Linked DNA regions of Tamandua tetradactyla. The protein of the gene in region 1 interacts with the protein of each later gene in a pairwise test. Links are inferred from orthologs where the notes say so. Each region holds a gene or a part of one and is shown in the gene's direction. Other genes may lie near its edges.

Region 1 (7,187 bases):
CAAGGGGAGCAGGTTAAAGTAGCAGCAGATTAGCCAGAAGCCTGCCCAGGGCCTAAATGGGCACAGCCCTTTATTTCTGGCTGGGAGAGGTGGGCTCCCCAGCCAGAGAGCTGCTGATGCTTTAAGAAGGCTTCTGATTTTTCTGTAGCACCTCCATCTCAGCATTCTTTGGAGGATATCTCAATTGGCTAGGAAATTGCTGCTTTTCGATACCGGGCTGATTACTTCTGAAAGACAGGGTAATAACATGAGCAATCATTTCTGAGCATTTACTGTGCAAAGCATTTTAACACACTTTATTGTATTGAATCATCTCAAAATTCTGGAGAGGTGAGCAGGTACCCCTGTGACCTCACCCTAGTACCGGACCTGCTGGACATTATTACTACCTCCATTTGACAGAGAAACTGAAGTTCAGAGAGGTGAAATAACTTCTCAAAATCACACAGCTAGTAAATAACCGAGCTATACCTGTCTGACTCCTATGCTCATTCTCCTAAGATTCAGCTGGTAAGAATTTTTTTTTTAAGATTTATTTAGGGCTCTTCTGTAATGTACAGGAAACTTGGCTAATTTATCACTAAGGTTACTAATAGGTCTAAAATTCTGTGAAATCACGTCCTATCAACTGTCCCTGAACCCTTCTGAAATGATTGAGAGCTAGATACCTGTGACAACTGAATAATTTAGAAGAATTTTGAAAGGGAGCTAAAGTCATATTGAGATAGATCTTTATTTTTGTTCCTAAATGTGAATGTCACAACAAACTGGCATATGTTACAACTTGGCTTCTAATTGTTGGGGGAGAAAAAGAGGTAAATTGTCATTCTTGGCAGTTTCCCAATGATATTTACATTTTCATTTCTATTAGAAGTTCATTTTAGCAAAGGGATTATAAAGGGAAGGCTACAAGGGATGTAGCCTTCATCACTTGAAAATGCTCTTCTCTAGAAAATAATTGTAACTGTTATAATCAAAAGAACAGAAAATGCTGGCGGGAGGCAAATTCATCATGCAGACAGCTTCAGTCTTCTGACATTCATATTCTGTAAGAAAACGTAGAAATTTCTCAATTTTAGGGTATTTAAGATTTGCAAGCAGTTGGGGAGTAGGAGAAGGAATTAAATTTCAATCCAACCGGGGAGGGATCAAGTTCAGATTTCCCCAGCACTCAAGAACCATTTCACATGTCCACAGTGCTTCCCAGTTACTGAGTTTCTCTGCTGTACAAAGCCTGTGTCGGTTGCTACAGGAAGATGTGTAGCATTAAGGTCATCCTTGCTTAAAAATTATTCAGAATAAAAACACATTTTTGAGACTTGATTCTAAATGTTAAACTTAAACGTGAGCGACTTAATTGTCCGTTGAATAGAAATGAAATCCCACCGGTAGGCAGTTATTTCTTACAACCACTGTGTGTGAAATTGAAATCTTAAGATACCATTTCAAACATTCACCTTCTGTAAGGAAGTTCTCCCCAAAGAGTTGTGAAAGATAAGAAAGTGACCCAGAATCATATGCAATAATCTCTCTTTTTTTATACACTCAGGTCAATGCAGAAGCATATTACTAAAAGGAAATTTTATGCCAAAAAGTTAGCCATTCTGAGATTACCTCCTGGAATCCAAGGATAGATTTATTTTAACAACTGGTTTGAAAGGAGGTAGCAACTTATCAGATTTAATCAAAGCAAGCAGATGCAAACATATCATCTAGTCACCAGGATAATGAACATGAAAATGGAAAAAGCTTACGTGTTTTGTTTACGAGCAGTAGGGGTGAGGTGTAAGCACCCTAGGTCTGTTTACCTTTTCAATGTAGAGAATACTTTTGAATTTAGCTGGGAGAGTCTTATTTTAAAGCCCCATTTTCCAATTAAATTTCAAGCTCTTTTATAATTCTCTCAATGAAGCATTTCATTATAACATAGCAGTTGCCATTTATGAGCTCTTACTACGTGCTAGGTGCTTTCCATGCATATAAGCTCATAGCTCATTTAATCTTTGCAAACTTCTATGAGGAGGTCCTATTATAACTCTCACCCTGTTGTCAAGTCTAAATACCATGCTTGCATGTGTTACCTCATTTAATCTTCATAACATCCCAAGCAATAGGTTCTATTATTCCCATTTTACAGATGAGGCTACTGGGAGGTTAAAATCCTGTGTTAGCCCAGGTTAACACAGCTGAGAAGAGGAGGGGTAAAACACTGGCACTCTGGCTCCAGATTTTGTACTCTTGGCCACTACAAAATACTGCCTTCTCAAATTAAGTAACTTTCGTAGACCACACTGACAAGTGAGAGCCTAAATCAAATCCAGGCAGCCCAATTCCAAAGTCCTCATATTTAACCACATGGACTGATTAAACCAGGTAAACCACTTATTGCAACCTGCATGTTCATTTTGATTTCTGGTTGTAGAGTCATAGGTTATGTATTTATCACATACTTTAGGCCTGCCTAAACATTTTAGGGGTTTTCTTTCTTAAATTAAAAACAAAGGTCTGATCAGGAAAATGTCCTCCTATGTACCGAAGGTCTTGGCCTTGGACTTCCTTTAGCACACATACACAGAGATTTTAATTATACTCATCAGAGACTCAAGCCTTGGGACCTGAAGATGAGAAAAATGACAAGAGTGATCGATGCTAGACAACAGTAAATTCTGGTTATACTTGTGAAGTCAGTGAAGATTTGGCTCTGACCAGGGAAAATGAAGTGACCAAGGAGTCACTTCTGATTTCAGCCTCCACCATTGGGGGAAACCTATTCAGGACGCTTTAATGCCAACTTTTAAGGTGGGAATAAAATGCTTATGACCATGATTCAGAGGGAGCCTAGAAAACTATGGATTCTGAAAATTCTCGGTGGTTTCATTTTTGCAAGACTTATAACTGGCATCAGGCAGAAACAGGCCTTTAATCATCATTTCTGAAGGCAGACATTTCCAAGTTTGAGGCTCAGGGAACTGAAGTTGGTCTCTACCGGAGGGCAGACTCAATTAGCTTCTTCCTCTCTCCTTCCTCTGCATTCCTCACTCTTCCAAGATGTTGCTCTCGAGGTTTGACATCAGGTCTGGCTTCTTTCCCTTTCCCTGGCCCAGGACAAAACGACCTCCCTATTGCTCTTGATCATGGGGAAAGCAGTGGGCTGTGCAGGGTATTTACTGGTATTTCATGGGGGCAGGGGGTGGGGTGCGCAGTCGAACCGCAGGGGTCCGCCTCCGTGCACTTTCTCAAGGATGCTGAGGGAGGGAATTCCGTCAGCCGGCAGATGGAGACGAGACCCCGACCCGAGTGATCCCTCCCCTCCGATTTTCCTCTGGGATTAGCTGCCCCTGGCACAGCTCCGGCAGTGCCCAGCCCGCTCGGCCCGAGCTGCCTTCGTGGAGTGCGGACGCAGCCACCAGCTAGCAGCCAGCCGAGCCGCGCTGTCCCGGGCATCCTCGCGCGGAGCGTCGGGGGACCTCGAAGCCCGGAAGGGCGAGGAAGCCACTCCGAACGCTTGCGTTTCTGTAGGTGCTTCTTTCACCTCCTTGTCTTTTCTTTCTTCCTCGACCTGCCCGCTGGTTACTTTCAGCCTTAGTTGAACTGAAAGGGCAACGCGGAGGAGGGGGAGTCTTAAAGGATTTAGAGGCAGCCCAGCCTCCTCTCCAAAGAGGGGGTGTTGACCGAGCGACTCACCCGGTCCCTGACGCTGGCCCCTTTAAGAAGCGAAGTCCGTCCTGCGCGGCCGCTGTTTGTATTGCTAATCCCCAGGAGCCCCGTTTAAAAAGGGGGGGAGGGGGAAGGGGGGGGAGGATGGCCGGGCAGCTGTCTCTTTAAATGTGATTTCCTTCTATTGTATTTGAATCGTGATCAGGAAAAAGGAAATGAAACCAGAGACAGAGGGAAGCTGAGCGAAAATAGACCTTTCCCGGCGAGGAGGGAGCCCAGGGGCGCGACGCACGGGCCCCTCCCCGCCCGCCGCCCCCTCCCTGCCCTCCGCGGCGAGCTGCGCGCTGCGACCCGGGCGGAAGGTGCGAGGGGCGCGGGGCGGCCCGGCGGCGCGGATCCGGCGACGGCGCGCGAACGGGACCGGGCGGTGGCGGTGGCGGCGGGACCGGGATGGAAGGTTAAGTCCTGAGCGGCAGCAGCTGCTGCAGATGCCCCGGGCCAGGCTGCGCGTCCCGGCCCCGGTCTCGGCCGCGGCGCGCCCGCAGCCCGGTGATTCGCTCTCTCTCTTTGGCGTTTGAAGGGAGCGCGGTGACTGTCCTTGAGCGCGGAGGGCCGAGCTCGCCGCCGGAGCTCCCGAGCAAGCGGAGGCGCAAGAGCGGCGGCAGCGGCGGCGCCCGAGCACCCGAGGGGGTCCGAGCCCTGGCAGCCGGCCAGCCCCGCACCACAAAGGGAGCGCCTCCCCCGTCCGGCACGCCGCCTCCCTCCCCAATGTCCTCGGCCATCGAGAGGAAGAGCCTGGACCCGTCTGAGTGAGTGTGGCACCCCTGTCGCTTTCACCCACGCTCTCCACGGCCTCGCGCCCCGTGGTTAGTGGGGTGGCACGGCTACCCCCCACCAGCACCACCACCCCGCGAGGGGCTTCAGGTGCGCGCCCGCGGCGTGCCCTTGGCGCCCTCCGCCTTGCTCTCGGGCTGGCGGGGGATAGTGCGGGAAAGGGGTTCTGGCCCTGCACCCCGCGGGCCCCTCTCGGCTGCCTGGGACGTTCCGCGAGCCCTCCGCGGGCCAGAAAGTTTGCACCGGAGCGGGCACCGGGGGAGCTCGGAGGCGCGTAGGTGCAGGTCAGGCGAGAGTGCAGGGCTGGATTCTGCTCCTTTCGCCTCCCCCCGCCCCGGCCCGCTTTCTCTTTGTCCAGTTGGTCTTGGAAAGGGGGACGTTCCGAGTGGAGGCCTCCCGCACCCCCCACGGCCCCCTTCCCAGCCCGCAGGTGGAGCGACCCCGGGCCGCGCGGGTGCCTCGCCGCCTACGGGGTCCCAGCGTCCACTTCCGAGCCTACTCTGGCCTCCAGACACTTCTAGAGCCGATAAATCCGGAGTTAATCAGAGTTCATGTTTCTTGGGGTCCGCTGATGGGGTTTCTCTATCTCGAAGGGCAGCGCACCATTTTGTGTATAGGTGAATTTTTCTAGGGCGGGGAGTCTCGTGGGTTTTTCATGGTCTCCAAAGGCTTTAGAGTCGGGGAACCAGGACTCCCAAGAGCATCTGCCGCGTCTGTTTTCTGAGCCTCCTACTGACTTGGAATGTTCCCCTATTTCCAATTTACACCCCCAACCCATTCTTTGGTGATAACATGGGGAGAAAGGGTTGTTTAAGATCTCATTTTCCCGTCAACGTAAATGCCCTTTTAAGATTCATTAACTGTCTGGTTTTGAGAATTTTTATTCCTTTGAAGTCCCCATCTAATCCTTTGAAGGGATTTGTTACACAGACCAAAGCAGCTGGTTAATGACTTGTCCATTTGTGCTCTTAAGAGGCGTTTGTTTTGGTTTTTTCTTTTCTTGTTTTAAAGAATTGTGCTTTCTTGTTAGAAGTCTCCCGCCACCCCACCAATTTCAGCCCTTGGTGGTGTTTATTTACCTGGGTTTTACCCTCAGTTACTGACATGAAAGCTCAGCATGTTCTCATAAAACTCAGGAAGTGCCACAATCCAGCGAGAATATAAACATCACTATTCAATCTTAAAGGTTAAGACACCAGTTCTGTAAGGAGCCGGGTTTGTGTTAACAAACCCCCAGCTTCCTTGGACTAATTCTCAAGAGAAAAATAACATTCCTTTACTTAAATGTATGTATCTGTGCAAACAATGAGTTTAAAGGGTGGTTTGTTCACTTTTTTTTTTTTTTTTTAACAAACTTAGAATTACAATTTAGTCCAGAGACTGGGCAAGACCATAGTAATAAAGAGAGTGAACTGGATGAATTGGTAGCTAATGCCCTTTCGACCAGCCAAAACTTAGTCACTAATCCTTTTATTAGAAGACAAATCTGGAGGTTTCACTTTCCCTAAGGAAGTTTAGTCTTTTCAAAATTTTCCTTTTTCACTGAGGTTAGAAAATTGAAGCATCCTAGCCTCATAAAATACATCAAGCACCTAACTGAAGGGCACTAACTATTCCATTCTTCACTATTTTCCAGTGAAGACAGGTACTAACTGAAGACGGACAAGCTAGTTGAGGAAATGGTGCCAGCACATTTTTCCCCCTCTTTCCCAGAAAAGGTTGATAAATTATGCCCAGAAATCCAGGCAGAAGTGATTTTTCAGGTGTAATATTCAGGATAGGCTCTAGGAAAACATAAAACATTAATTTGAAGGTGAATCCTACTCAGTCTTTTGCTTGGAACGTCCTCCATGGACAGCATGATGTTATCATAAACTCTAACAGATGGAGCCAGTATCTTATCCTGTGTTTACTATTTCATTTCAGGCCATCGTGATAGCTCCTTTGCTTAATATTTCTACTGCGGACCACTATCCTGATAGATGCTTCACTGCATACTTACCCAAAGCCAACTGGAGTCATTACCATTAGCATCTCCATATTCCAGATGGAGACTTGCCCAGGCTCAGGCAAACCCAACATTTAGACAGAAGGGCAGCCAGACTTTGTGAGCTTGGAGATATCTTTTAGGATGCACTCGGTGCCCCTTACCGCCTCCCTATGAGTCACAAGAGCAATTCATTTTAATTTCAGGCAGTTTTGCACCAGCTAAGTGCAAATTCTCCTCTTTCACAGTTGGTTGGCAGTGTCAGCACCGGGGCATTCAGTGTGGTGGAGGTTCTGTGAGTGTTTTGAAAGCCCCAAGTAAGATCAAGGCCCGTGGAATGAGAAGAGCTGCATTCTGATTACAGATGTACATAAAATGTATGTACATAAAAATGCTGGGCATAGTAGTTATTTTTCCAGAGGGAGAATGGAAGTCTTTATGTATGATCTGTAGAGGCAAAGAATAGTAAAGCAAGTCAAGCCTGTAAATTATTACAACTATTTAAGGGCTTGATTTCCTTTTTCTTTTTTAATTGGCTTGGGTTTCACCTTTCCTCGTTCTAAAAGGAGATAATCTCATGAAGTGTCCTTATATAGTCCTTTACTCTCTCCATCTGCAGAGTGTGAACTGGGTTTTAGCATCTCCTAAGCATTGATCTGGAGGCGAGCTCTTTACTTCAGTCACCGGAGGCTGCCCCAGGGTATTATAA
Region 2 (8,054 bases), on another chromosome or scaffold:
CATGGAACATACTGATGCATTAACTTAGGGAATAATGTGGATATACTTTTCCAGAAGAAGCACTAAAATGGAACATAGAAACTGTAATTTATTAATCAGAAAGGGAAGATATTATATTGTATATTCGTGGAGATGAAGTCACTGGACTTAAATGCAGTAAAATAGTATTTTTGTGACTATGGCATTTTAAATTCCATTTTATGCATTTTAAAAATTTCTACTTCTGAAAAAAAATGCAGAACATCTAATATTTTTCTTCTGAAAAACTGTTTACTTCTTTTGGTTATTGGAAATGGGCAGCTTTCAAAGAAATGTTTTCTTTTTGTTGTAGAGTACATAGATTTTCATGAGCACTAGTTTAGGCTGAGTCCCAATAATAACTTACCATCATTTTAAGCTGTGGATATATAAGAATTTATTTCAACAAATATTAGGCATGACGTTAATTTGGTATTAAACTATAAGCACATTAGCAATTATAGTACAGTACACTATTACTTTTCAAATCTCTGCAGTAAGTTTTTCATCATTAATGGTTTATTTATTTATTTATTTTTCCAGGCAGACCTTATCATTTGCATGATTTCAGTATGATTTCAAAACAGCCCAGCCATTCTAATTTTCTTTTATATCCATTGAAATATGCATTCCTGATGGCCAAATCTATTCCCCAAACACAACCATAAGGTATAATCTAATTCAATAGGAGTTAAATGATTAGCAGTGCAGTTGAATTGCTGTGCTTAGTCCATAGGGAGCCAAACTGAGTTCCAGGTTTCTATATAAACAATAAATTAAAAAGACAGCCCAGAATCCTTGACTAATTTATCAAAGTGTAATTAAAATTCTTTTGTCTGACTCACCGGCCCTTACAGTAGGAAGATAATTCCTTGTGCACTATTATGTATTGCAATAGGACAATCGCTTCCCTAAACTATATTCACACAAACATAAGTGGGTTTGTAACGTACCTGAAATAATACATATCATCATCACAGATCTTGTTTGGTTTTACTTTTTCATCTGTAACTCTGCAAGCAAACTTTGAACATATTTTTAAGTAGAGGGACCCAGGTAGGCTGAATTAAATTGGGTGACTAACTATCTTGGTTTACCCAGGACTTTTAATTTAAAAACTGGGACAATGCCAGGCCATTTTAGTCACCCTAAACCAGGGCGAAATACGGTGGAGTGAAGACAGCTTTGGGGAAACATCTTTTAAATACTGTGTTCCTGCTCTTTCAGAATTTTCTAAATTTCTCCTCTTCCTCCAATCCCAATGTAGGGCTACTTAATGCTCATCTTTTCCCTGAATCCAGTACCAGAACTGTCAAGGGCAAGTAAGAGGCTTGAGCTCTGTGCCAGATGGTCTGGATTAGAATCCAGGCTCTGCCATTCTTTAGGTGGGTGATATTGTGCCTCAGTTTTCTCAACTATAAATGGAAATAGTAATACCCACCCTGTAGGGTTACATGAACTGTGCCTCTCGTACATTAAGCTTTAAAGAAATTGTTTATTTTTATTGTGAGCTTGATTATGATTCGCAACTTAGAGCAAGAGGAACTTGCTTCCTCTATCAGTCTTCCCAGGGGTGGCTTTCATTACCCCCAAAGCTCAGCTAGTTGGTTTTTTCCTCCCTGTTTAAGATATACCCATAAAGTGACAAAGGAAACTTCAAATTTAGGACTCTTCCAGGGAATGTAGCATTAGTGGAATGCAAAAGTAGATGATAAAATTACCCTAGTTCTTTTGAGGCTAATTAGGCTTTTAGTGCAATTCTACAGACTATTATTTTTAATAGTATTATGGTAAAGCTGCTTTATTGAATGTCTCATTCAATTATTTGACATTCCATCAAGGAAGGCATGTTAATATTTATTCTTAATCATGAGCACTGGGTGCAAAATAGAAGAGCATATTGGAGTTTAATATGCCACAGCTTGGTTGGGCTATGGTAGCACTTTGCTTCTATGAAAACTGTTCCAAGGGGATAATGTTGAAATGCAGCTTGTGGGTTGACTATGAAATTCCAGAGTATGAACACCATTTCTTTAGACTTGTATTGTTCTGTTAACAACTAACTTCCAAGGCAGAGAGCTCAGTCCACAATGAGTAGTCCATTCCACATTGATGGACTACTTTTCTAATGAGCAGAAAGTAGACTTGTACCTGATTTTTCATCTTGTAATTTAGCCAAATAAGACTACTATAGGACACCTAGTAAAAATGTTATGATAAAATTTGTTTTTGTTGGAATGTAATTGTAGTGCCCTGATTTATTATATACAATTATTTCCAGAATTTGCCAATTACAATGCTAAAGGTGTTTAAGAAAATATTGGAATTGCTTAAATGCTGAGATGGAACCCAGATCCTTAAGATCTAAATGACCTGTCAAGAATATATAAAATGTAAAACATACTTAAAATATTAATTTTGAATTCAAGAATCAAAAGACAAGCCTTGAATTCTGGATTTTGCATTTAATATTATCAAATATTTAAGGGAAATTTAATTTTTTTCATAATGTAGGCTATTCCTAACTGACTATATTCAATTATAAAGAAAATTTTATTTTTTTCATAATGTAGGCTAATCATAACTGAATATATTCCATAATACCTTGAATACGTTTTAAAACATAAGCCAGTTGTAATAGTCATATCTTCTCAGCCATTAATTTTTTTTGTGGTTATTACAACAGATTGTTGAATCTCAGTATTGGATTCATCGTGGAATTTATTTTATATTACAAGGTATTCCACTTAAAATGAAAGTGTAATGTAGATAAATCCTGTAATTGTGTGTGAATATGGTAGCTTAAATAATGGCAATATTCACACATTCTACTTTTAAAATCTCAGTTCTCTTGCAAATACCTGAATATTTTTGGTTGTATTATTATTATTGTTTTATTTTGGAACAATGTTTTTGTCTCTATTTTTCTTTGTATCTATAGCAGGCTTTCTACAAATGAGGAATAATCTTCTCCATTCTGTGCTTCTTAGGGTAACCCTTATTTAAACCTCACATGAACCTTAAAAACCAGATATTGCTTAGGACTTGTCTAATTGATACCCTCTGTACATCCCTTTGTGATATATTTTTAGAGATAAACTCATGGTTGCATGGACCCCTTTAATATATCTATAGAAAAAAATCATTTTGTTTTAAATATTTTAACCATGGAATTAAAGAATTCCTGTAGGTTAAATAAGATACAACTTTGGCCTTTTGTCTGAGAGAAGGAAAATATCACAGTAGCACTTTTAAAATAGACTCATTAATGCAAACTAAGTACTTCTGCTTGGTTTACTTTTAACTAAAACAATAATAATTCAGAACTGTTTTTACTGCTGTCAGTAATTGTAAGTTTTTCATGTTTTGTTCATTACAAATAAAAATGTTTTGGAAATATCCGCTTTATTTATTATATTCTGAAATAAATGCATTTTCCACAATATCTGTGTTGAAAAGCAGAAAAATTGAGTGTCATGCATCTGTACTGAAAGAGAATTAGATCATAATCTGCATGGGACAGTATTTAGGATTGTATATCCTTTGTCATTTACGCTTCTAATTACAAACATATTTTAAACTGAAAAATTTTGTGAAAATACTATTGACTATTTTTCTTTCTTTCTCTCTGTTTTGTTTTCTTTTTTGTTCAGTTGCAAATTCAAAAGCAAAAGTGAGCAAGGTTTTTGAGGTTCATATTTATGTCCTGGGCTAAGTTCAGATTCCAGTGAATGGCTCTGGATTACAATTCAATGTTATTTATTATTATTATTATCTACTTTGTTTTCGTGTTAAGGAATGGCCAAGTAAAACATTAAGGAGGATAACTTCGGGTGCCCCAAAGAGAGTAACTACAGGGCCAGAAAAGATGCTATAGAATTGGATGAGTTGGTTAAAATTTAGGTAAATATTAGGAACTTAGGTTAGATATTAGATAAATGTTTGGGGATTCTAAACATGTGTTTCCATGATGGGAGAGTTACATTTGGACAAAGGTCCTAATTGTCATCCTTTTAGGAAATATTGAGCTGGTAAGGGTGGGGATGGAGTGGGTGGAGGTGGGGTGACAGACTGTATATGTTGTACAGTTTACATCAGGCCTTCTAGACTTTCCTTCCTTTCACTGTATGATTTTTTCCTTCAGAGTTTGTGTCAGGTTTCTCCCTTGCCACAGAAGTGGAAAGATATGGTCCTAATGGCTTGGTTGTCAAAGAAATAATGTTTTGAAGGATACAGCTCAATTTCTCGATGAACTTTTTGGAGCTCGGCGATGATTTTTAAGCCCCACATTTTCAGCAACTGGCAGTGAACGATTCCATAGATACTGGCTCAAGTGGGAGAGAGTGGAGAAGCAGAGTGGCCTTCTGGGGCCCAACTGCCTTTTGGCCATTGCCCTAAGATGATTTCATTAATCTGAGTTTGGACGGGGCGGAAAGGCAGGTAAGTGCGGAGCGGCAATGCTAGTGGATCAAGAATCAAACACAGACCCTCCATCCTCAAAGGCACCTGAGTTAAAAAGAAATCCCTTCCAGGTACCTACTCGCTCTCATCTCTTAAGTGACAAGTTTCTTTTCAAGCGTTAGCCACCTGTGTGAGGCGCTCCTAGTGGGAAGGGTGGCTCGGGGGAAGCTAGTAATCAACCACACAGCTCCGGAGCCTTTCTGGGTGAGCAGGCGGTCAAAACGCCTCCAGAAGTCGGAGCCCTTAGAATGCGGAGTCCGCGCTGCCCTCGCGTGTCTACAGGAATTTAGCCCAATGCCCTCAACACTGGCATGCTTTGGCACCGGCTGACGCCTCCCGTTTGCCCGGGGTCCTCCGCGTTCTCTCTTCCCCACCTCCCCACCCCCCAAAGGAGTGCTCCAGCCTCCCTCCGCCTGCACAGCACCCAGCGCGCCCCAGAGGTTTATCTGGCTCTCCACACGCACCGCCGGTTTCCTTTGGCGCCGGACGCCAGCGACCCGTGTAGACCAGCCGCTGCCTCGGAGCTCCACGTTTCAGTCCCGTTCTCCCTCTTCCCTGCCGCCGAGCCTCGCGGCTCTTTCCCCGGCGCCGCGGCGCCCACTCTGTTTCAGGCTTAATCCCGGGTTGGACCTGCTGTTTTGCTCATCCCCACGCTCAGCCTCCCAGTAAACCCAGAGAAGTACGGTCTGCACACTGAAACTCTCGGTGGCTGGAGCCGGCGGACTGGGCATGCTCAGAAGCCAGGGCTGGCTTTGGTCTCAAGTAGGAAGCTTTTGCACTCGGGAGGCAGCGGCGACTTTGGGGAAAGTTGATCGAAGAGGGGAGGAAGCCCCAAGACGCGGAGCAGCGGCAGGAAGGAGTCCCCGGCTGCCCGGAGGAGCATGGGCACCCTGCGAGATTTACAGTACGCGCTCCAGGAGAAGATCGAGGAGCTGAGGCAGCGGGATGCTCTCATCGACGAGCTGGAGCTGGAGTTGGATCAGAAGGACGAACTGATCCAGAAGCTGCAGAACGAGCTGGACAAGTACCGCTCGGTGATCCGGCCGGCCACCCAGCAGGCGCAGAAGCAGAGCGCGAGCACCTTGCAGGGTGAGCCGCGCACCAAGCGGCAGGCGATCTCCGCGGAGCCCACCGCCTTCGACATCCAGGATCTCAGCCATGTGACCCTGCCCTTCTACCCCAAGAGCCCACAGTAAGCGGGGGTTACGCTCCGGGTCGGTGTGGCGCCCTGTCGGTGGGGGAGCTGCGGGTCTCCGTAATGTCTGTCGGCCCCCGCCCCTCCCGCTTGCGGTGTCTGTCCTCATCCTCTGAAATGTTTCATTTTAATGGGCACTTCTTGCGGGGCCATGCACATTTCTCAGAGCCAGACTTACTGCACATACGTTGCTTTCGTGTCTTTGTCAGATATCAAAGTATTTATTAAAAAAATATATATATGCACATATACATTCTTATATGCCACCTACTGTACATGGAGTTTGAACGCGCCCCAGGTGTGTGTCCGTGCGTGTGTGTATTGTATGCGAGTGAATGTGAGAGGAGGAATAAAACGCCCCGTCTCCCAAATGCCTTGGCAAACCTGCCCATCCGGAAAAGCCTAAATGCAGGCTCATCAGACTTGAAATGAAATGCGTCTGTTACCATCATTACTTTCTATGCTTTTCTGGCTCCCTCGGATTTCTCTACATGGTGGCGATTCACGCTGGCACCCTTCAAACCTGATGTTCTGCCCTCATCAAAGTGTTTTTTAAAAAGCAAATACGCATATACAAGGGGGTGATTTCTTGATTTCCTGAATTGGATGACATTTACAATCCATAAATGGAAACCTAGTCTGTTCATTTAAAATTTTTTTCCTAGCATCTGAGACAATATTGCCTGTTTTCCTTTGCATAATGTTACTAATGGAACGCCTCCATCCCCCACGAGGGTTGCATGTTTTCTAGGGTCAAATATAGATAGGAACACACCTTTATTTTGGATGTGGGCACAGTTTGCCTTGGTTCTAGCCGTTAGTGTGATCACCCTGGTATTATTCTAGCATTTTAGAGAACTGTGTAGTTTTGATGTCAGTGAGCTTCACATAACTTGGCTGGGAAAATTGAATGAAACTTGTTATACAACACTCAACTCAGAATCCATATTGAGAGTAAAGCAGCGGGAGTATAAGGTTAACCTAAAATGAAGGAAAGTGCACGAATGAATGCTATTTTTAATTACCAGATAATGACATTAAAAAGTGAAAGATTTTTCTACTTTATGCTAACTGCATCACACTGTCTGGATGGCACGTGTTACATAATAATACAAGGTCCCTTGGAACCCTTCACATCATAAACACAGAGAGTTAATATAAGAAGAAAGAATATATATTTTATTAGCCCCCAATTGTATTTATTGGATTTTTTGGAGGTCGTGAGAATGTAATAATTGCACTTCTGAAAACTTAGAGTTGTACCTTTGCATGTTGGTTCCCGTGGAGCATTTGCTGTTCCCTGTGCAGCCCCGGGGTAAGGAGGAGTTTGTATTCTTGAGGGACTGGAGAAAGGGTAGTAAGGATCAAACCTTTCTGAGATTTGGACCTGCACAAATTGGCCTTAATAGTTCACCAGACTTACATCTGCCTAAAAAACCTGAGTGGTGTGAAGCCACTTCAGCTTTCTCTGGTAAATTAATTTGCAGTCCTGACATGCTTGCCTGTTTTTGCTAACGAGGTGCATGGCCATCTCTCCTGGGCCAAGTTTTGCATAATGAAAAAATAACTTGAAGACAGCTCTCTGCATCTTTAAGCATTCCATAGGATCTCATTTTAGTGTCTGCAGGACTTCGGAGCAGTGCAGAGCAAACTCTGCTTTTATAAAAAGATTATTTTAATAGGTTTTATAGTGAAGCCTGATAAGCCAGCTGATAACTCCAGTTAAATATGTTAAAGAACTTCTAGGCAAGTGGGGAACAAACTGTAGATTTTGGTAAATTTTAGAAGCTTCTTATTGCCTGACCTGTAGAACTAGATTTTAAAAAAGCCCATTGTGGAAAATGAAATTCGCGTGTAAAATAATTCACAATGTTCCATTATAGTAAAATTTGAGCTAATGAACATTCCTGTGCCGTTTGATATTTAATAACTTACGTTTTACAGGAGTCAGTTATAAAGATATTGCCATGATCATTTTGGTGATTCTGAAGGATTATATTGAAGAAAATGATAGAATGTCTTCCAAGCTTAAATAATTTTGGGAAAACATCTGTTCTTTTTTCACACTTACGTAAAGAAAACTAGAATAAAACTTGGCTGAAGTGGTAGGGTATATTTTTCTTAGGGGAAAGAGAAATATATTGTATGAAAAATGATTATATCTTATATCATTTGAATAGTCATGCACAAGAGTGCCACAAAGAATTAAGGAAACTTGCCAAACTGAAGATCTGTTTGCGTTTCAATTCATTTCACAATGCAAATTCAATTATATAGGTTTAACTGGCAACAGGTTAAATTTTTCACCTTTCTTAAACTTACTCATAGTTTGTTAATGTGAGTTCAAGCTAAAATGAAACTATCTAAATAGCCGAAAATT

Evidence for each region. The genes of interacting proteins can lie anywhere in the genome.
Region 2: the proteins of LMO2 (region 1) and PRKG1 interact in binary tests that used the Homo sapiens proteins (3 or more experiments, as listed by UniProt). The two-hybrid records come from large-scale screens. The link is inferred for Tamandua tetradactyla from reciprocal best matches to the Homo sapiens genes LMO2 and PRKG1.

What each region holds. Positions count from the first base shown.
Region 1 is NC_135334.1:110,238,800-110,245,986, reverse strand, and holds the start of LMO2 (rhombotin-2), read left to right. Parts: upstream 1-4,100; 5' UTR 4,101-4,107; coding exon 4,108-4,114; intron 4,115-4,237; coding exon 4,238-4,466; intron 4,467-7,187. UniProt on the Homo sapiens protein: Acts with TAL1/SCL to regulate red blood cell development. Also acts with LDB1 to maintain erythroid precursors in an immature state.
Region 2 is NC_135339.1:45,953,366-45,961,419, reverse strand, and holds the start of PRKG1 (cGMP-dependent protein kinase 1), read left to right. Parts: upstream 1-4,966; 5' UTR 4,967-5,360; coding exon 5,361-5,671; intron 5,672-8,054. UniProt on the Homo sapiens protein: Serine/threonine protein kinase that acts as a key mediator of the nitric oxide (NO)/cGMP signaling pathway. GMP binding activates PRKG1, which phosphorylates serines and threonines on many cellular proteins.